Linked DNA regions of Arabidopsis thaliana. The protein of the gene in region 3 interacts with the protein of the main gene of each other region in a pairwise test. Each region holds a gene or a part of one and is shown on either strand. Other genes may lie near its edges.

The links.
Region 1: the proteins of ERD15 (region 3) and MPC interact in a two-hybrid assay, tested with the Arabidopsis thaliana proteins (one study listed by BioGRID).
Region 2: the proteins of ERD15 (region 3) and PAB5 interact in a two-hybrid assay, tested with the Arabidopsis thaliana proteins (one study listed by BioGRID).

The regions. Positions count from the first base shown.
Region 1 is NC_003074.8:6,701,922-6,707,708, reverse strand, and holds MPC (maternally expressed pab C-terminal), read right to left. Parts: upstream 2,236-5,787; 5' UTR 2,184-2,235; coding exon 2,085-2,183; intron 1,993-2,084; coding exon 1,780-1,992; 3' UTR 1,582-1,779; downstream 1-1,581. Other genes in the region: AT3G19360 (Zinc finger (CCCH-type) family protein), read right to left, coding at 1-165; AT3G19340 (aminopeptidase (DUF3754)), read left to right, coding at 3,638-3,737, 3,869-3,963, 4,053-4,166, 4,260-4,364, 4,447-4,518, 4,636-4,748, 4,851-4,985, 5,090-5,158 and 4 more.
Region 2 is NC_003070.9:26,988,462-26,997,239, reverse strand, and holds PAB5 (poly(A)-binding protein 5), read left to right. Parts: upstream 1-2,980; 5' UTR 2,981-3,137; intron 3,138-3,632; 5' UTR 3,633-3,750; coding exon 3,751-4,084; intron 4,085-4,253; coding exon 4,254-5,035; intron 5,036-5,130; coding exon 5,131-5,208; intron 5,209-5,302; coding exon 5,303-5,392; intron 5,393-5,492; coding exon 5,493-5,813; intron 5,814-5,921; coding exon 5,922-6,134; intron 6,135-6,232; coding exon 6,233-6,463; 3' UTR 6,464-6,715; downstream 6,716-8,778. Other genes in the region: CPB (Subunits of heterodimeric actin filament capping protein Capz superfamily), read right to left, coding at 80-150, 243-371; AT1G71780 (WD repeat protein), read left to right, coding at 602-985, 1,625-1,834; AT1G71760 (uncharacterized protein), read right to left, coding at 6,741-6,985, 7,070-7,294, 7,373-7,679, 7,773-7,826; HGPT (Hypoxanthine-guanine phosphoribosyltransferase), read left to right, coding at 8,096-8,398, 8,738-8,778. UniProt on the Arabidopsis thaliana protein: Binds the poly(A) tail of mRNA. Appears to be an important mediator of the multiple roles of the poly(A) tail in mRNA biogenesis, stability and translation.
Region 3 is NC_003071.7:17,266,158-17,272,401, reverse strand, and holds ERD15 (dehydration-induced protein (ERD15)), read right to left. Parts: upstream 3,245-6,244; 5' UTR 3,000-3,244; exon of another isoform or gene 2,683-2,999; 5' UTR 2,667-2,682; coding exon 2,327-2,666; coding exon of another isoform or gene 2,304-2,326; exon of another isoform or gene 2,240-2,303; coding exon 2,088-2,239; 3' UTR 1,860-2,087; downstream 1-1,859. Other genes in the region: AT2G41440 (agamous-like MADS-box protein), read right to left, coding at 1-34, 111-148, 235-286, 516-610; WIH2 (proline-rich family protein), read left to right, coding at 4,529-4,574, 4,720-4,924, 5,563-5,608. UniProt on the Arabidopsis thaliana protein: Central component of stress responses that interacts with poly(A)-binding proteins. Negative regulator of abscisic acid (ABA) responses, including resistance to drought and freezing as well as stomatal closure regulation.

The DNA.
Region 1 (5,787 bases), on a different chromosome or scaffold from region 3:
TTGCTGAGACGGTTGAGATTGTGATTGTGATTCAGATAGTGAATGCAAGTCTCCTTGTTCATTGTTCATTGGATTAGCCATTGAATCAATCATCTGTGTTTGATTCCAACCACCATAAGGTGATTGCACGAACATGGGACGAGAATCAGAGTAACTCGAATCCATAACTGTAACAAAGATCGAATTTTGCGATTACAAATCTTATCTACACAACCAAACTAAACTAAATTCTTCAACTTTTGATAACGAGACTGCAAAAGGATTCAATCGCAAGAAAAGTCATTGGCTAGAGAGAATCATAATGCTTGAAACTATGATGTACAAAAACACGATTTGAGTGCAGAATTCGAATGGATCAGCGAGGAGGAGAGTAATATGCGAATGACGTGAAGAGTCAAGGTTAGAGCAATACCTGGATCAATGATGGCGGCGGCAGATTTGAGAGAAGAAACGCGATTTAGGGTTTTTGAACATCTGATATATAAATACCTCTTTATCTTCTTCTTTTTTTTCTTTTGGATTAAGAAACTGATGAATAGTGAATAAATTACGTAATCGCTATGGTTTTAATAATTTTGTATCCTTCAACACATTAAATAAAAATAATAGTATATGTATATTATGCATATATTTTAAATTATCTAATTATATCGTATAACATTAAAACTTAGGTTCTCATTTTTTCATAAATCATATCTATTTGCTATGATTGATTTGGTCTATTGTGATTCACTGTTATAATTTAGAGATTTTATTTGACTTAAAAAGTCAAATTACTTTGAAACATTTATTCGGTATTTATCAAATTGAAAATATATAAGAACATATGAAAAACATTTTTTCATGATTATTATTCATTTGTCTCGATTTTGTTTTTTCCTTTTCTTTATTATTATAAAATATATACGAATTCTATATGCTTTTCGATTGTTTACAACAAACACAAATTTAAATATAAGTTATGATACAACGAGAATACTAGTATAAATTATAAAATTCCATGTCTTGGTTTTATGTTTTGAAGCAACACTTGATGTATATGATAGATATGTTAACAAAGTAAATCAAACTATTATTAGCCTTTTATCCTAAAAGATATAAATACAAAAAGGATAGAGGGTATATATGGTTGGTAAAAAACTAGCAACTAAAAAGATTGGTTGGTAAAAACTAAATATTATCTACTTACATCATACAAAGTAAAATAAAAACTAAACATTATCTACTTACATCATACAAAGTAAAATAAATCTAAATATTTAAATAAATATGTTTGGATTAAAACTTTTTGAATACATGATAATAAAAATATCTTACGGGCTACTAAAAATATCATTTATTTAGTGTTTAGTCATGCTTTACATTATCGATATAGTTGAAATCAACATAAATTATTACTATTATATATATGTATATATATTTTTTTCTTATTTAATAGAATATAAATATATATATATATATTTTAATATAAGTAAGATTAAATATGAAAGAAAGAAGTTTAGATATTACTAAGGGATACATTGTTTACAAATTAAAAATTCAACTTAACTAAAACATCAGTTATAACCACTCTAGTAATTATTTGGACGAAGCAGAACTTATTTTATTTTTATTATTGTCTTAAAACATTTGGATACACTAACATATGATTTTTTTTTTTTTAAATGAAAACAAAGATTTAAAACTCAACTTAAAGCCACATTTTGTTGCTCATATTAATGAACAAAAACCAAACAAACATTTCAAAGTTTAGCGGGGAGCATGGAAGGTAGGAACTTGCTAACATCTTTTTCCCCTAGCAATTTTCATCTGTTGCAGAAAGGAGTGCGCTAGGACCTCCATTGCCTCTTTGACCATTTCTTTGAAGGCTTTAGGTGTTACCAGCAGATGAAGGACCTTGTCTTGGTCCAATTCAAGAATCATTCCTGTGATTTTTGGTGCAAACTGTGGCTCAAGTTCTTCCACCATAAAGAACAAAGTTTCACCAATCAACTACAAAAAAAGAGAAATTTAGGTCATATAAAGATAACATAAACTATATTTGTAAGTAGCTGCAATCTTAAAGTAAGCAAAATCAATTTTACATCTCGTTGTTCTTTGGGAGGTAAAGAAGCAAGATCAAAAGGAGGTGAATCACCACGGGCAACTTTTACAACTTTGTTAAAAAAGCATAAACGATTCATGACTTAAGCAATGAAGACGACGATATATTTGAGAGAAGAAACAAAATTTAGTGTTTTGATGAATAAGATTTCATGTGCTATATATAACAAAACCAAAACAAAATATCTAGGTAAATGCCAATATTCTTTCTTTTTAATAATTGGGGATTCAACACGCTCTTTAGATCATGTGTGTGAACCACGCGCTATAATATAGCTAAAACAAAAATGATATAACACCGTATGCCTATTTTTTTTTTCTATGTAAATAGTATAAAATTTTGGTTTTAGATTTGTCGAAAAACAATGGCTATATGTTAGCACGTATGTTGAACAATGCAAAATTTACTAAATGTATTTTTAATCATTTGTTTTGTATATCTACAAATAACAAAATTATCTAACTCTTAGAATTAACATTACAAGGTAGTGTGATTGGCTTATAATGCATGAGCTTTTATTTTTTATTTTTTTGGGACAAACTAATGTGCATGAATTTTAAAATTAGATTTTTAAAATAAAAATATTGAAAATTTCACAATTTACAATATACAAAAATCGAAAATGTGGTACTTTTGACAAAATCCAATGTTTGTTACAAATTTATACATTGGAATAGAAAGAAATCTAGGAGAGTAATAGCTTACTCAATCAAAAACTGACACGTGTCCTCCATCCTCACCAAGTCAACATTCTCTGTATCTATTTTAATTTTGTAAGGTAAGAAATCTTTTGCACAAAAAAAGAAAAGGTAAGAAATCTTTTGCATTTTTAAAAGAGAAGGTAAGAAATCTGAGAGACTTTGATCTAACCACGCGTTTAAAAGGAGACAGTGAACACACGCGCTATGAATCCATAATCCATTTAGTTGGATGTGAAAGCCCATATAATGTCATGGGCCTAATTTATATAGCCCATATAAACGAAATAGGAAACACACGAGAGACAGAAGCACTGTTTGGGTTTTGGCTATATGAGAGAGATAATAATATTGTGGGAGATTGAATAAGTGAGAGGACCTACCTACCTTGTTGGTCTTTTAACATTACTACAAGTCACAACATTGGTATTGGTCTGAAATTATTCTTCTTTTGAATGTCGGCAAGGAATTTGTTTAAGTACTCTCTACATGATTTTTTTTTAAGAGAAACAGAGGCTGATGTATTATGATATAGGAAGCTTATGTTATACAATGATTGGAGGATCAACCAGAAGATTAGACTTAAGACATAACATAAAGAATAAAAATCACATTATTTGATTATTATTATTATTTATAATAAAAAAAAGGAGAAGAAGCAAGAAATAGAAAAAAGCATTGGGCTGATGATTCGTTGGTCGAGTTCAACGACATTAACTCATTGGAACGCTTCAGTTTTGTTCCTCCTCAGGGTCCGTTACGCTTCTTCTTCTTCTTCTTCTTCTTTCTTCTTCCTCCTTTGTTTCTGATTTCCCAAAAATTCGATCCTTTTGAAATGGCGGAACAACACAATAAGGAAGTGATTCGTCTTGAGCCCGAATCGGTCATCCCTATCCTCAAACCTAAACTCATCATGACCTTGGCTAATCTCATTGGTCAGTTTCTCCAATTTCTTCTTCCCTGTTCTCGGGTTTTGAACCCAAATCCCAAATTTTGCTTTTTTCACAATCGTTGGCCCTTTCTCTGTTTGGTTACAAATTTGGTCGGATAAATTGTGTTTTTGCAGAACATAGCAATGATAGACAAGAGTTCCTTAAGCTATGTAAGAGAATTGAGTACACTGTTCGAGCTTGGTATCTTCTTCAATTTGAAGATCTCATGGTCTCTAACCTCTTTCCTTTTTAAAATCTCTCTTTTACAAACTTGTTTTGCTTTGCTTTCTCATTTATCATGCGCTTTTGAATTTCCAGCAACTATACTCTCTGTTTGATCCTGTACACGGTGCTCAGAAAATCCAGCAGCAGAACTTAACTTCTCAAGAGATTGATGTCCTTGAACAAAATTTCCTAGCTTACTTGTTTCAGGTTACTCTCTTTGATTAGGATATTATCTCCTCCCTTATATTTATCTATGTCATTGTTCTTGAAATGTGCCTCTTTTTCCCCCCGCTTATAAAGGTTATGGAGAAGAGCAACTTTAAAATAACAAGTAATGAAGAGATGGAAGTTGCACACTCTGGGCAGTATCTTCTCAATCTTCCCATCAAAGTTGATGAGTCTAAGGTTTGTTTAAACAAACTTTCACTAATGCTTGTGTGTTGCCGGGATTCTTATAAAATAGTTTTCTTGCTTTTGGTGGATGAAGCTTGACAAGAAGCTGCTCAAGAGGTATTTTGAGGAGCATCCACATGAAAATATTCCAGATTTTTCTGATAAGGTACAGTTTTTAGTTTGTCTGTAGATGAGCATTTCAAGATTATAGTTTCCTAAAGACTTTCTTGATGGTCATGTAGCGACATGTGTTGATATAGTATTTACCCTTTTTCTTATATAGTATGTCATCTTCAGACGTGGTATTGGATTGGATAAAACCACAGATTATTTTTTCATGGAGAAATTGGATGTGATCATTTCACGTTTTTGGTCCTTTCTCATGAGAATCACCAGGTTAGAACACGTTTCCCAGTCTAGTCTTTCTTAAAGTTCAATACAAGTAAAAAAAGTTAGGCATTTGATTACATGTTGGGTCTTAACACATTTAGATCACAGGTTAGAGAAATTACGCGCCAAAAGGTCAAGCAGTCTTAACAAGAAAGATCCCAAAAAAGATGATGAGCCAAACCCTGACACAGATAATGATGAATTGTATGTGGAGCGTATTCGCCTTGAGAATTCAAAGCTGAGGTTATCATCAGTATCCCTCGCATGTTATGATTTGCTTTCAACCCAAACTTTTGCCATTCTGTACATATATATGATGATAATGGCATTTGTGTTGATGGATTCAGCTTTAAGAGTTTTTTGAGCAAGCTCACAATACAGGAGCCTACATTCGATAGAATGATTGTTGTTTATAGGTAAGGTATATGTATGTCTTGTTTCAGCTATTTGTTTGTAACTTTGTGAACTTGTGGTTCAAGCTTGTGGTTTATGATGTTGCAGACGAGCTAGCTCTAAAACAAATCTAGAACGAGGAATCTACGTTAAGCATTTCAAAAACATTCCTATGGCTGACATGGAGATTGTGCTTGTAAGTTTCTGTTCTTGTCTTCTTTCCTTTTGCATCGCTGGATTTTGTAGCGAAAATTGCAAACTAGCTGCAATAACATTAATGTCTTGTGCAGCCTGAGAAAAGAAACCCTGGACTGACTCCAATGGATTGGGTCAAATTTCTAATATCTGCAGTAGTTGGTCTGGTTGGTCTTCTTGGCAGATTCTTTTCTTTTGTTGCAGTTCATGTTTACATGTCTTTCTTGGTTATCATATGACTTTTTGTACAGGTAGCGGTGCTTACTTCGGTTGAGATGCCTAAATCAGATCCATGGGTAATTATTGCCATTCTCTCCACAGTGCTTGGTTATTGTGCGAAAACATACTTCACGTTAAGTGCTTTTCTTTTTGCCTTTCCTTGTTTTCATTCTTCTTTGTTAAGCGAACAGCTTCTTATTCGAAAATTGTATTCCTTCAGGTTCCAGCAGAACATGGC
Region 2 (8,778 bases), on a different chromosome or scaffold from region 3:
AGTACTGTATCATCCCAAACCAAAGCGATCCAATATTTTGAATTTTCTCTCTACACAATGAAATAGAGCAAAAAAGTACCTGTAGGAATCTGCATCTCTATTATACTCACACAAGATGAAATCTTTCCCACTTTCAATATCACGTAACACCTGTCATTACATCACCAAACCAAACATTGGGAGATAAGCACGACTAAGGCAACAAAATCACATTTTCAAATCTCGATAAAGATAGAAAATACCTGAAGAGGGAGATCGACTTGAGAGAGAAGATCGGAAGAATGTTGAGGAATGAGGCTTAGAAGAGCAGATAGAGCCGTCTCCGACTGCTTCGGCGGCATTCTCCGGAGAAGTCCCAAAGCTGCCTCCATTTTTTTCCAACCTCGCCGGAGAAAAAAAACACTTCTCCTCTGAGAAGACGAACTAAAAGGTAACAACCGAATAACCAATCTCTTATTGTCTATTATACCCTTTAGGCCCATCATAAGGCCCAAACATTACGAGGCCTTTTACTAAGCGACGTCGTTATGAACAGAATATTTATTTTTTGCTTTCCTGGGATTATAAATCTTTTTTTCCATCGGACGGTGAATTGTTAGTCATGTCATCGATGACGGAGAAGGAGAAGGAGAGAGATCCACCACCACCACATCAAGAGATTGAAGAGACTACTCCGTTGCTCGAAAATTCTCAACCGGAAAGTGAATTGAGATCGACGACCGCGGCGGCGAAGGTTCCTGAGGTGGAGATTCATCTGTATAAGTGTGGAAAAGGTCCGATCGATGTGTTCAAGTCAAATCTCGGCGGTTATGAGCAGGATCAGCTCGAGGTTCGATCTATTCTTGAGAAATATGGCTTGAAAGCAATCTTCGCTTTCAACGTTGAGAAAGGTCGTGCTGTTCCGATCAGATTTCACCCTAGGAATGGTCGGTCTGTGTTGCCTTATAGGGATGGTGCCGTCATTTACATCGACGGTGAACCTCAGGTAATCTGATTGTTTTGATTTTGAGTTTTCACTTACGCAATAGGAAAAAAGGACAGAGAACGATCTCCTTAGCTTAGTTATAGTTCCCTACTGATGCTTGAATGAATAAACTCACGGTGAATATTGTTGCATTGCATCTGTTGGACCTTCTCTGAACGCATGATTAAGGAATAGGATAGGACCCAATCTGCTTCTTGTCTCCTTTACATGTTCTTCATACCCTTGGATTGTAGAATTACTCTACATTGGCGTTCTGCATTTAGATAAGTTGATGGTTTTCTTTTGATTGTGCTCATAAACCTCATACATGTCTCTAGACTTTCTAGGCTTCTTTACTCTTCAATTGCCCTGGAATATCAATTAACGTGGATTCGGTGTCTCATGGAACCTTAGGTTTAGGTCAAAGCTTGTATTCTTACTTAAAGTAAACAATTTCTTGGAATCACTCCTATGGCTCATAGATTTAGAATACGCATGTAGAAACTAGAATGGATGTCATGGTATTCTGACTTCGTTGGGGCGTAAAAAGTCTTTGGATAATATTGTTGCAAGAACAGAAAAAAAAAGCATTAAAACATGCAGCTTTAATTGGGTGATTCATCTGATAACACTATTAATTTGAACACCTTTTGTTTTCAGGATTCCCTGCTCAAACCCATCACCAGAATCATTCTCGGAGTTGTGATTGTTACGCTCTTAATAACATTTCTATTGAAAGACCCTCCAGCTTGGATCAAGAACAACATCTCCATTGGGACCTTTCCTCCATGGGTGCTCGCATGCATAGTTATAGTTTTCACTCGAGCTAGAAAGAGAACCAGGGACTTCTTCAAGAAGTATGGCTGGTAGTTTCGCAGACCCTAACACTCGTCTCGCTTAAAATGTGGTCGAAATTTGTAGTCTTTCATCGACCATATATATAGAGGTTCTCTTGCCTTAACCCAACAAGTTCCCTTCCTTGGCAAGACTCTTCGTCTTTGATACGCCTTGAGGCGCCAAATTGCTTGCTTTCAGAACTAAGAGAGAGCAATCATTTTCTTCATTTGCATTTTGTTGAAGTTTATAGTTTTATGCATTTCCATGTGTAATGCGATTTGGTTTTTGCCATTTTGATGGAAACTGATACTTATTTTCTAAAACCCAATAGTTTGGCAACAAGCCTGTCCATATTTAATCTCTACATTCCTCCCTGATAATATGAAAATTTAGTCTTGTAACGCATGACATGCTCAGTTTCGTACATATGTCAGATAGTGTTTCAGAAATATCTAAAATGAATGACAACATCACCCATATCGAACTTACTTTTTGGTGGTAGAAAATATTTAGTCGACTAGAGTCTGACATTTTACTCTATTAATCACGAGTACTTAGCAATCTCTGTTCAATAGATTTCAACTGTTGTATTTATTGATGATGGAATTTTTTAAAGATCAAAATTGTCTCATCCACAAAATATTGTCCATGAATTCTATAGATTAGCCTTGTGGCATACCAAAAATCTGTCTCATGTTTTAAACAATTCTATGGAAATATGTTGATATTGATTTAATGTATAAAATTGAGTTTATCGCGGCTGCGTTGACGTTGCTGATAACATCCTGCTTGACACTATCTGGAATTCCTAATTTACTAAGAATTTTGATGATTTTAATAATATTATTGAAAGTGAATAAATGAAAGATTCTAAACTATTGTAGATGTTATTAGTTTAGAATTTGTAAAAAGTAATATAAAATCTTCATAAATCTGAAGTTATTTGATTTATATTTTTATAAAATTATTAAATATTTTGCGTTATTCAATTAAAACAAAATAATCTATGATTGTTAATGAATTAAATTATTCTGTTAATGGTTTATGATTTTTTACATTTTTCTTCACAAAATAAAATCATGAAAGTATCATCAAAATCGAGAGATTGTTTAAATTTTTTTACGAGATTGTGAAAAACAAATCAACAAGATTATAAAAAACTCTCTAGCAATAGTTTATAATCTTTCATTTATTTACTTTCTATGATATTATTAAAGTCATCAAAATTTCGTGTAAATTATGAACCAATAAAGCCTCTTTTAACAAAAAAAACAGACATGACGATAACAACAAAATAATTAAGAAGGAGAAGTAGACGGAAAAAAAAAAAAAAAAAGTAGAGTAATAAGATGTTAAGAAAAAACATAAATATCTATGTGGCACTAGATCTCATCTATAAGACGTTAGTCGTAGTTTTTTGCGAGTATATGAAGAGCAGACTTAACAGATTCATTCGGTTGCGGCTTCCGTTTAGAACGCATGATCCCTTCTACTTCTTCGTCAAAATTGTGTTCAGTTTTCTTTATTTGTTTTAATGATTGTTGTATTTGGATGGTTATATATCATATAAATTTAAATTTTTATAATATAATATAATTGATTATCATTAAAAAAAAAACATGTGGCATTGGATTATTGGCCAGGACAGAAAAAGCCCATTGGCCCACAAAAAGATCCCAGATGTGAATTAAAAAGCTGAGTCAAAACTCAAAAGCCACGTCAAATCAAACTCTGATCCGTAGGGACCGGTTGGTTAGCGAATGTATAAATACCAACTCTCATTCTTTCACACCCTTTCGAGTCTCTCTACTCCTCTTCTTATTCACCGGAGTAACCCAAAAAAAAAAAGGAAAAAATATAAAAATAAATATTCTCCCCTAAAAATTTTGGAAAACCACAAACAGAAATCTCTCTGTCTCACCCTAGAAAAACCTAGAAATCTTATCGCTATGGCTGCGGCGGTTGCATCTGGAATTGCCCCGACGACGGCCATGGTTGATCAAGTGATCCCTAATCAACCCACGGTTGCTGCTGCTGCTCCTCCTCCTTTCCCTGCCGTGAGTCAGGTTGCGGCGGTTGCTGCTGCTGCTGCTGCCGCGGAGGCTTTGCAAACCCATCCAAACTCGTCTCTCTATGTCGGAGATTTAGATCCGAGTGTCAATGAGTCACATCTCTTGGATCTCTTTAATCAAGTTGCTCCAGTTCACAATCTTAGGGTTTGTCGTGATCTGACTCATCGTTCTCTTGGTTACGCTTACGTCAATTTCGCTAACCCTGAAGATGGTAAATATTATAAACAATCATACAGGAATTTAATATTATTATTATGGATTACGACAGGAATATAATATTGTTCATGTGTTTGCTTTTGTGGTTTTGTTCTTTTTGCTGTTTTGTTTTGTTTTGTTTTGCTGTTTTGTAATTAAAGTTTTGTGTTTTTTTATTGGATCAGCGAGTCGTGCGATGGAAAGTCTCAACTATGCTCCGATCAGAGACAGGCCTATAAGGATCATGCTCTCTAATCGTGATCCGAGCACTAGATTGAGTGGGAAAGGCAATGTTTTCATCAAAAACCTTGATGCATCGATTGATAACAAAGCTTTGTATGAAACTTTCTCGTCTTTCGGGACGATTCTCTCTTGCAAGGTTGCAATGGATGTGGTGGGACGTTCGAAAGGATATGGCTTTGTCCAGTTTGAGAAAGAGGAAACCGCTCAGGCTGCTATTGACAAGCTTAATGGTATGTTGCTTAATGATAAGCAAGTCTTTGTTGGCCATTTTGTCCGTCGTCAAGACAGGGCACGTAGTGAGAGTGGTGCGGTGCCGAGCTTCACTAACGTTTATGTTAAGAATCTTCCTAAGGAGATTACTGATGATGAGCTTAAGAAGACTTTTGGGAAATATGGAGATATTTCTAGTGCGGTTGTGATGAAGGATCAGAGTGGGAACTCGAGGTCTTTCGGGTTTGTCAACTTTGTGAGCCCTGAAGCTGCTGCAGTTGCTGTTGAAAAGATGAACGGTATCAGCCTTGGGGAGGATGTGTTGTATGTTGGTAGGGCACAGAAGAAGTCTGATAGGGAAGAGGAATTGAGGAGGAAGTTTGAGCAAGAGAGGATAAGCAGGTTTGAGAAATTGCAAGGATCGAATCTGTATTTGAAGAACCTTGATGATAGTGTGAATGATGAGAAGCTCAAGGAGATGTTCTCTGAGTATGGGAATGTGACTTCCTGCAAGGTTTGTTTCTGATTCTAAACATCTCTAAACTTTATACATAAGTTTATACCACACAATATAATGAATTAAAATGTTTTGTTTGTGGTCATAATTAGGTTATGATGAATTCACAAGGTTTAAGCAGAGGTTTTGGTTTTGTTGCTTACTCCAATCCTGAAGAAGCTTTATTAGCTGTAAGTTTCAACTGAATTGACAATCTTTTTACATATACATAAATGTTTTATAAAATTGGTACTAAAATGTTCATTGGGGTTGATGATTACGCAGATGAAAGAAATGAATGGGAAGATGATAGGAAGGAAACCTCTTTACGTTGCTTTGGCACAACGTAAGGAAGAAAGACAGGCTCACCTTCAGGTTCTTTTTAGCCCTCTCACTCTTTGAACATCAAACTCTGTACTGTGTTGTGTTGTGACACTGAGTTCTTAAACTGTCTTGATGTTTTCACGTGTTTCAGAGTCTATTTACTCAAATCAGATCACCTGGAACAATGTCACCAGTTCCATCACCGATGTCTGGGTTCCATCATCACCCACCAGGTGGGCCAATGTCAGGACCACACCATCCAATGTTCATAGGCCATAACGGTCAAGGTTTGGTACCTTCACAGCCTATGGGGTATGGGTACCAAGTTCAGTTCATGCCTGGGATGCGTCCAGGTGCAGGCCCGCCTAACTTCATGATGCCTTTCCCTCTTCAAAGGCAAACTCAGCCTGGCCCTCGTGTTGGGTTCAGGCGTGGTGCTAATAACATGCAGCAGCAGTTTCAGCAACAACAAGTAAAGTTTTTATCATTAGTTCTTATGTCTTTTAGCAAGTTTATTATCTTTAACACAATCATACGAATATGAATTTGTTGGGGCTTGTTATTATCTTGGAACTGTCAGATGCTGCAGCAAAATGCAAGCAGATTCATGGGAGGCGCAGGCAACAGGAGGAATGGAATGGAAGCATCTGCTCCACAAGGCATCATCCCTTTGCCATTGAATGCATCTGCAAACTCTCACAATGCTCCGCAACGCTCTCACAAGCCAACTCCCCTCACCATTTCTAAGCTCGCATCTGATTTGGCTTTGGCTAGCCCCGACAAACACCCACGGGTTAGTGATCTCCTGTGTTTTCTTCTCTTATCTCATTTAGTACTTGCATTATAACCTATATTTGTTAACAATATCATTGCATTGTGAATTGATGACAGATGCTTGGGGATCATCTTTACCCACTTGTGGAGCAGCAGGAGCCAGCAAATGCTGCTAAAGTTACCGGGATGTTGCTGGAGATGGATCAAGCTGAGATTTTGCACCTTCTTGAGTCACCTGAAGCTCTTAAGGCTAAAGTGTCCGAGGCTCTGGATGTTCTCAGACGCTCTGCTGATCCAGCAGCTGTGTCATCTGTTGATGACCAGTTTGCTCTATCCTCATCCGAGTGAACATACTGTTTACTCAAGACTATGTTTCTCTCGCTTTCTTAGACAGTTGCTTTAATACCTTTTAGGACCTTTAAAACTAGCTTTTTCTTTTCTACATCTCTTTGATAGATTGTTTTGAGTTTTTCCCTTAGCATTGAGACTTTTACTCTTTAGCACTTTCTCTAGTTTCGTTAGGAGTCTATTTAATGTGTCAACTCTTTTGCAACTCCAAATTCGTTTCAGAAACTTTACATTTAGCATTTTATCTAATAATCGGCATTCTGGTTAAACATTCTGATCACATGAAATCTGGATGTACCTCGTCGTCTACTATCTGATATTCCGTATTTATCTCCATTACTGCTCTGTCCCATCCTCCTACTTCGTCATCCTTCAAGGCCTTTTTAACACCAAATCGCGGTGGTGCTTGGTGTTCTCCTTCGTCATCGATTAAGTAGGCGTCCCATTTCGAAGCTGGCTTAGTAACTCTTTCTGACTCTAGATTCCTCTCTTCCATATCCTTCTTCCTCGTCACTACTTCATCTGCAACACATTTGAAGGATAGGAGAATATTGTTTTAGTAAAACCATTCAGGCCTTTAATAAACAACATTCGCAACGGCTTTACTTGAACTAAACGCTGATATATGGCCAACATATGTAGCAGAACTCCTCTTACCGGATCGAAAATCCGGCTTTTTGATGCTGCGTCTGGAGAAAGAAGGCTTGAAGATCTCATTACTGTCTTTATTCTCACCTCCTGTATTTGATGATGATCCACCAGCATTAGACTCTTTGTTCAGCTTTGGCCTTTTGAACATATTGCTTGGCATCTCAGTGACAATCTTCACATCTGCAACAAAATCGCAAAACCAAGTACATATTTATCTATTTTGTCTCATAAGATGCTTGATTCTCGAATTAGACTCACCGTCTTCTTCTCCAGCTAATCTCCGGCGATCATTTACTGAATCGAAATCGAGGTATTGACTCCAATCAGATCGCTTCTTCGTTCCATTAACCTCCTCATTAACCTCTCCTTCAACATAAACCTCTGGAAACGAATCTCCAACAGCATGTGCCTCTTCATCGGCAACTTTGCGAGACATATTAAACGATTGGACAAAGAAACGAAGCTCCTTAGCCTTATAACCTTGAGCAAACACCTTTTTCACTGATTGCTTCTGATTGCATATCACACAAACCCACTTGTTACTACTTTTCTTCTTCTGCTTCACCTGCGAATTCGAACCCCAAAACAAAATCCCTAAAAACTAACCAATATATAAATTGACAGAGATAGAAGAGGAGGGAGCGAGAGAGTTTAATACCTGCATAGTTGAACACTCGTAACATTGGAGAGCGATGAAGAGAGTACTCGCCATTTTTTCTCCTTCTCCTTCTTCGTCTTCGTCGTCTGCTCTCTAGGGATTTCGATTTTGTGTTTTCGATTTCGTTCTAGCGCCAATTTGATATACTTCAAAAAATTTGGCAATTCCAAATTATTTTGTACCGGGTCTGTTTAACAGAAGACGGTAAATAGTTTCGGTTAGTTTCGGTTAAGCTCCCGCGTTTTTTTACAATAGCAATTAGAATCAAACCCTAAAAACCCAAATCAAAAAGCTTCGTTGTGGAGGTAAGTAGGAGGAAGACGATGGCGTTAGAGAAGCACATAGAGAAGGTACTCTTCAGCGATGAAGTAATTGCGCACCGGGTGAATCAGCTTGGAATCGATATTACTTCTGATTTCTCCGGTGACTCGGAGGAAACTCCTATTTTTGTCGGCGTAGCCACTGGTGCTTGCCTCTTCTTGGCCGATCTCGTTAGGCGAATTGACTTGCCAATAGCTATAGATTTCATTAGAGCTGAGTCTTACGGCTCTGGTACTGTATCCAGTGGAGTTCCCAGAGTATCATTTGACTTAAAGCTTGACATCACGAACAAGCACGTTGTCTTGGTAATCTCCATCTCTTTATGCGTGATGGATCTGGATTTGGGTAATATGTGTTTTGCATCAGTTTTGATTCAGTTTCTTTAGCAATTGAGTTTTAGTATTCATTTGAATTTCATGAAGTTTGAGTCTTTACAGCTTAAAATTGATATGTTGGTTTCTGAGTTTTAACGTTTGAAGAACACTTGTGATATGCAAAAATGTGATGAATATATTAGAAAGGAGACCACACTGAATCACTGATGCTTCACATTCTCATTTGATAATGTCTTGGTAATTATTTTACTCTTAAGCATTCGAAATTTCACTACTTTTTATATTCACTAGTTATGTGTTTTCTTAAAGGTCGAGGACATTGTGGATACTGGCAATACACTTAGCTGCCT
Region 3 (6,244 bases):
GAAGCTGACAATATCTTCCTTCCCAGTCATTCTCCTGGAATCATGAAAGAAAACTCATCAACCAAAATGAATATGCAGAACAAGAAAGTGGGAAACGCACGCAGGCATACTTGATCAAAAGCCGTAATCTCTCGACTTCTTTCCGCAGCTGCAAGGAGAGAAGTTGAATGTAAGCAAAAACACAGGTATAACATACAAAGAGATAGATATATGAGTACATAAGTAATTACATACCACTGCTTCATTGTCTTGCTCCTGCAGCTTATCTTCAGAGCTGCATCCATATCTGGAAAAAGGCCAAGGGGTTTAGGTTTAAGTTTATTGTCTGATTCAATCATATCCTCAGATTCAGATTCAGATTCCGAGATCCAACTAAGCCGAGTAAATAGCTAATCAATAAACCTAATAAGCAGATTTTGTGATGGTTCCCATATCCTAAATTACTTCAAAGACCTAAATCAACAATGAAAACCCTAGAAAATCGAACCCTTGTTTGCCATCTGTGAGCCAAGTACCTGCTGCTGGAGAATTCGCAGAAATTGCAGGGCCCTCTCGTCTTGTTCGTTAGATCTCTTCGCTTCCTCTTCATCTGATCGCCCTCTCTCCCCATCGAATCGGATCGACCGAAACCCAATTTTTCTTTTTTTCCACTTTGGAAATTGCGAGGATTGTTGTTACATGTATAGACGGAGTTTTTTGCCAAAAAAAAAAAAAAAGTACAGACGGAGTTTTTTTGGTCCAATATTATGGAAAATTTCCTAAAGTAATTTAGGGAAATTGAGTTGTTTGACCACAAAAAGAAAAATTATGGACATTGAGTTTGTTACACATTTTGCTAGTAGCCGCATAACATCAATAGATGAAATTGAATTAGATAATCAAATCATAGAGCCCAAAATGACTAACAACCAAATTAGAGTGGAAAAAAAACAGAACCGCAAGAACCCAAATTCTAGACGAACCTGAGATTTTGACTGTGTAGTTTCTGGGAAATTTGATTTGAATGCTTTTGGGTCCGGATTCACAGGTGAAATTCTTACCATCCACTGCAACCTCGTAATCACCTGGAGAAATCGAATCAAAACACACGAAGATTCATTTGATTGATCGGAGTTTTCTGAATAAAATCAAGGGCTTTCCGAGTTCTTACCGATAGAGTACAGAGAAGACTGCATCGGCGATGCTCTCTTTGGCGCCATTGTAATAATTCAGAGCGGGATTTCAAATAATTTACTTTTCAGAAAACTGGAAAAAAAAACGAAACGTCGAGTGTATAAATAAGTTTATCAGAGGGTATTTTCGTATTAACATAGGTGTCTTAAAGCTCTGTTCTAGCCAAAGCGCTGCGTTTTGGAGCGTTTCTGATCGTCTGACTAATCATTTGTTCGAATGTCAAATCGACGACTTGTGGAGTCAAAAAAACAAAGCTTCAAGAGTCAAGACGAGAGTTTTCGCATCAAACGAAAGAAAAGTCTCATTTTCCCCATTTTTGATGGGGAATTTACTAAGTCCGGTTTAAATTTGGACATGTCTTCGGTATCTCAATTCCGAGCTCGAAATGAACTTGGTGTCGTCGGCAATGTTTGCAAGTTAAAACATGTTCGACACTCCTGACCTTTTGCGTGTATTAGCATTATGATGTAATCGACATCCTTTTCTTAGCCACCAACCTTGTAGAGTTCTAGTCTTTAGAGAACTGATCATTTTCAGTAGCTGAGACGTGAAAACCTTCTATATTTGAGCTCTGCGATGGCTTTCTTTTGGTCGTAAAGCCAAAGCAACATTGATGCAACTGCTTCCGGTAGCCATCACCGATGCAGGATAAGACTTTTGGTAATTGAATAGAATTGCTCAGACAAAGGTAGGAAATAAACTCTAGTTCTCATTTCTCTTCAAAGTTTACATTTTTTTTTTTTTATGTTTTTACATTTTTGTGATAGCAAGTTTGAGAATGAACATCATAAAGATACAAAGTTACAGATTTTTGTTGTGGAAGCAAATACTAAAAATTACAAAGGTACAGTGGTGGCTAAAGATACACAGACCGAACTGCTCTGACTTCTCTGACTAGTTAACAACATATCTCTTCAGCGAGGCTGGTGGATGTTTCTCGGAGCAGCAGCAACCCTCTGGTTTCCCCATTTCGCTGGCTTTTCCGCATACTTAGCTGGTTCCACAATCGATCTCGGGCTCCTGTTTCCACTTGATTTCTTAACCATCTCACCATTCTTTCCAAAGCCTGATGATATATATAAACAACAATTAGCCTCCACAAATCTACTGATCTTGGATGGTTCTATGTATCAGGGGAATGAAACCGACTTACCAAATTCGGAAGGTGCTTGGTAATACATTCTTCCATCGAATCCTTGATCAAACTCAGCAGCATCAGTGTCAAAGAAATCTTCCATATCATCAAAATCAAATGATTCTGGAAGAAGATCAGCTACATCGATATGACCTCCACCATTCTCATTCTCTCCGTTGTCATAGAAACCATCCGCGCCTTGCTGCTGCTGACTGATCCAGTAATCAGGGTACCAAGTCGAAGTTGTCACCAATTGCCACCACTCCGGTGAGAAATCTTCCACTTGTCGTACAGCTGCCGGAATAAAAAGAGGTGCGTCGGGGTTTAGAGTAGATCGTCTTCCTGATACCATCGCCATTCTCAAAACTCTAGATCTGCACACACAAACAAACAAGCTCAGTTCAAATTCAAATTCAAATCTAACAACTCAATCACAACATAGCTTAATCCTTAGATCAATAGATCTGTACGATCAGTAAACATAGCAACAATAAGTTTCCGATTAGATCACTTGAAGTAGGACAAGTACAAGTTTGAAATCGAGAGAACTGAAGATAAATCAAGTTTTAAGATAGATCAACAACCATCACAGAGATCTAATACCATGGAAACCAATCAAATCCTTCAAAATCCACGAACTTCAAATATAGAAATTGATCGAGTAGAGAAGAAGACAACATCAGATCTTTACCTTGGCCGAGGAAAATATCTGCTGCAACTTGCTCAAGTTGATCAAGTTGATAAATATGTCTTCTTATTTTTTTAAAAGCTAAACGGATTAGGATCATTCACCAGAACCTACGTTGCGAGAAGATGAGAAGAAGAAGGACTAATATATAAAGTAAGGTTCGGTGACGAAGCTGGGGTTCGTAACGTCGAGGCAGGATTAAAGGTGAGACACAAGTGGGTAGGTCTGGACCCATAGCTAACATGGTTCTGAGTAATCAACCGTCCACGTGTAGACGCGTTACTGTTGGCTTTTATTGACTTTCTTTTTCGTTCCAATCCTGTTGGCTACTCACACTAAAAAGTTAAATTATTATTCTTTCTATAAAATATCTTAAATTTGGTCGGAAAGAGGATAAGGTAGGAGGAAACTAATCCAATATAAGCCCATTTATGACCGTATGGGCCTAACCCACTCATGATTTTGTTTTACATCATCATTTTGGGCCTAATCCTAGAATCTACTTTTGGTACTTACGTTTTCGGTATTGTATCGTGTAAGTACCAAAAGTAGATTCTAGGATTTACGTAATGTCTGAGATGTGCATTTTTATAGGACATCAAGTTTGAAAAGCTAACCAATGACAATGAAGAACCAAATTCTAAGGTAATCTATACAAGGACACCAAGATCATTAAGGTGTCGAACAACTAGGATTATCGAAATGAACATACATAATTTTCTGCTTCATTGTTATGTTGCAAAACGGAATGACTGATCATATTTTCTTCTTTGCATCAACCACTTACGGTCAGTTTTAGAATAGCAGTGGCAAAACTAGTAGATGAAGTAGCTCAAAGAGAACGATGTGTAATTGGCGGGAAGGAAAATGTTGTAGTGAAGTCCAGGCCATTGCTACTTTCACAATGTGATTCAGCAAGCCTTTTCAAGAGATTGGAAACCTTAAAATGTATATATGTACATGAATATCTCCTCTTTTTTAGTATACATTGGAAGTAGGTAAGTGGGGTTTAGAATGTAGACACTTTTACTTTATCTATTGTGTACATCTATTTATCATATGTTGTAATGTGTCTTAAGTCAATCGACTCGATAAAACAAAATGAATTTCTATATTCTAAGGAAATTTGAAGTAAGATACAAAAAGAAATTAAGCATCACTAGATTTCATACAGAACATTAGAAAAAACAACAGAATAAACAACCAATCAATAATCTTTGTTCTCCAATTAATTAAGTTCTATTAAACAAAAAAAAAACAGAAATAATATCGCTGCAAAAGGCAGAAACCGCGTGAATCTTGTTTTAATTTAACCTTTTTTATTGGTAGTTTCATTTTAATTCATCGTATTGAACGCTAGCCTAAAGTTATGGATAAAAACAAGAAAAATCAAATAACTGCAAAACGCGTTATACTTAAAACACTCTCCTCTTTTCCTTGTCCTTCTCTATCGCTTCTATAAACTTTTTCGATCTAAGGTTCGTGATCTCCTTCTTCTCTACGAAGTTTACACTTTTTCTTCAAAGGAAACAATGAGCCAGTACAATCAACCTCCCGTTGGTGTTCCTCCTCCTCAAGGTCCTCTTTCCTTCTATTTTCGATTACTTTTAGAAGTTTCGGTTTTTAGATTTGTAATTTTTTCTTAGATCTGCTTAATTTGGTACTGATTATTGTTTTTGTACGACGGATCTGAATTTTGTTTGTGCTGAAATTGTATCAATAGGTTATCCACCGGAGGGATATCCAAAAGATGCTTATCCACCACAAGGATATCCTCCTCAGGGATATCCTCAGCAAGGCTATCCACCTCAGGGATATCCTCAACAAGGTTATCCTCAGCAAGGATATCCTCCACCGTACGCGCCTCAATATCCTCCACCACCGCAGCATCAGCAACAACAGAGCAGTCCTGGCTTTCTAGAAGGATGGTTAGTCAATAAACACACTCCATTATATTTAATCTGTTTTTACTAATTAGATTTTGTGTATAGTTTGAATTTGACTATATTCCTTATTTTAAATATTTCTTCTAGAGATTCTTTGAACAAAAGGTCATGTGGTTTTAGCTAGAATATTCCTCTGTAGAGGTTGACTTTTTGTGATCTCTGTTCATTCACTGATCACAGGACAATTGTTGTTGTGTTTAATGAATTTGCATCTTTTAGGATTTAACATGTTTGCATGATCTAGCTACTGGTTACTACAACATTGCATGCTTTAAAGAAACTAGAATTGTGATTGTGTTCTTGTCGTTATTGGTTTGGTAGTGTTTAACTGTTTATGAGTACTTGAAACTATACTTGTACAAGTTTTGATAAGTAAATTGGCTTAGCAAGATGGATCCTTTTTGTGTTCTCTGTTCCTTCACTGAATACAGGATAATTGTTGTTCTTTGATGGCTTTACTTAACAGTGTGAATCGGATGTTGTTTTTGATGAATGTGCATCTTTTAGGATTTGATTGTTTGCATGATCTAGCTACTGCTTACTACATTGCATGTCTTAAAGCAACTGGATTTGTTTTTAATACTGATTGTGAAATGTAAACACTGTTTTTGCTTTTGCAGTCTTGCTGCTCTGTGTTGTTGCTGTCTCTTGGATGCTTGCTTCTGATTGGAGTCTCTCTCTCTCTGCATAAAGCTTCGGGATTTATTTGTAAGAGGGTTTTGGTTAAACAAAAACCTTAATTGATTTGTGGGGCATTAAAAATGAATCTCTCGATGATTCTCTTTCGTTTTATGTGTAATGTTCTTCGGTTCATAACATTTTAACTATTGTCTATCGACGTTCTGCCTTAGTTTGTATTTGATTATGGGAATGTAAATTGGTTGGGAGACACTATTCTATGCCATAGTTTATTGCTTGGATCTTAAAATCTTTGTGTTCATAATTCGTATGGTCACATCTCAATGATCCAGTTTTCGTCCATCTATTATTGATTCTTTCAATAGACAAGTATTAGGTTTGATATTGAACGTCATTGAAAGAAATAATTTCGTTCTCTTGGGATTTTCACGAAATGTATGGTCTTCTATCCACATGGGTTGGTTTCCATTATTGATGTTAGGTCATGGTTTTAATCTGGGAGAATAATATGTTAGGTAATGGTTCTTTTGTCAATAAGAAGGATTTCGTACACTTTTATTATCATGGAATAAACTAATCACGAAATCATGCACAGAAAGAAAAGTATATTTCATTACCAATATTGCGTCAAAATCATGCGTCTGCTCATTCTATTACAAATTT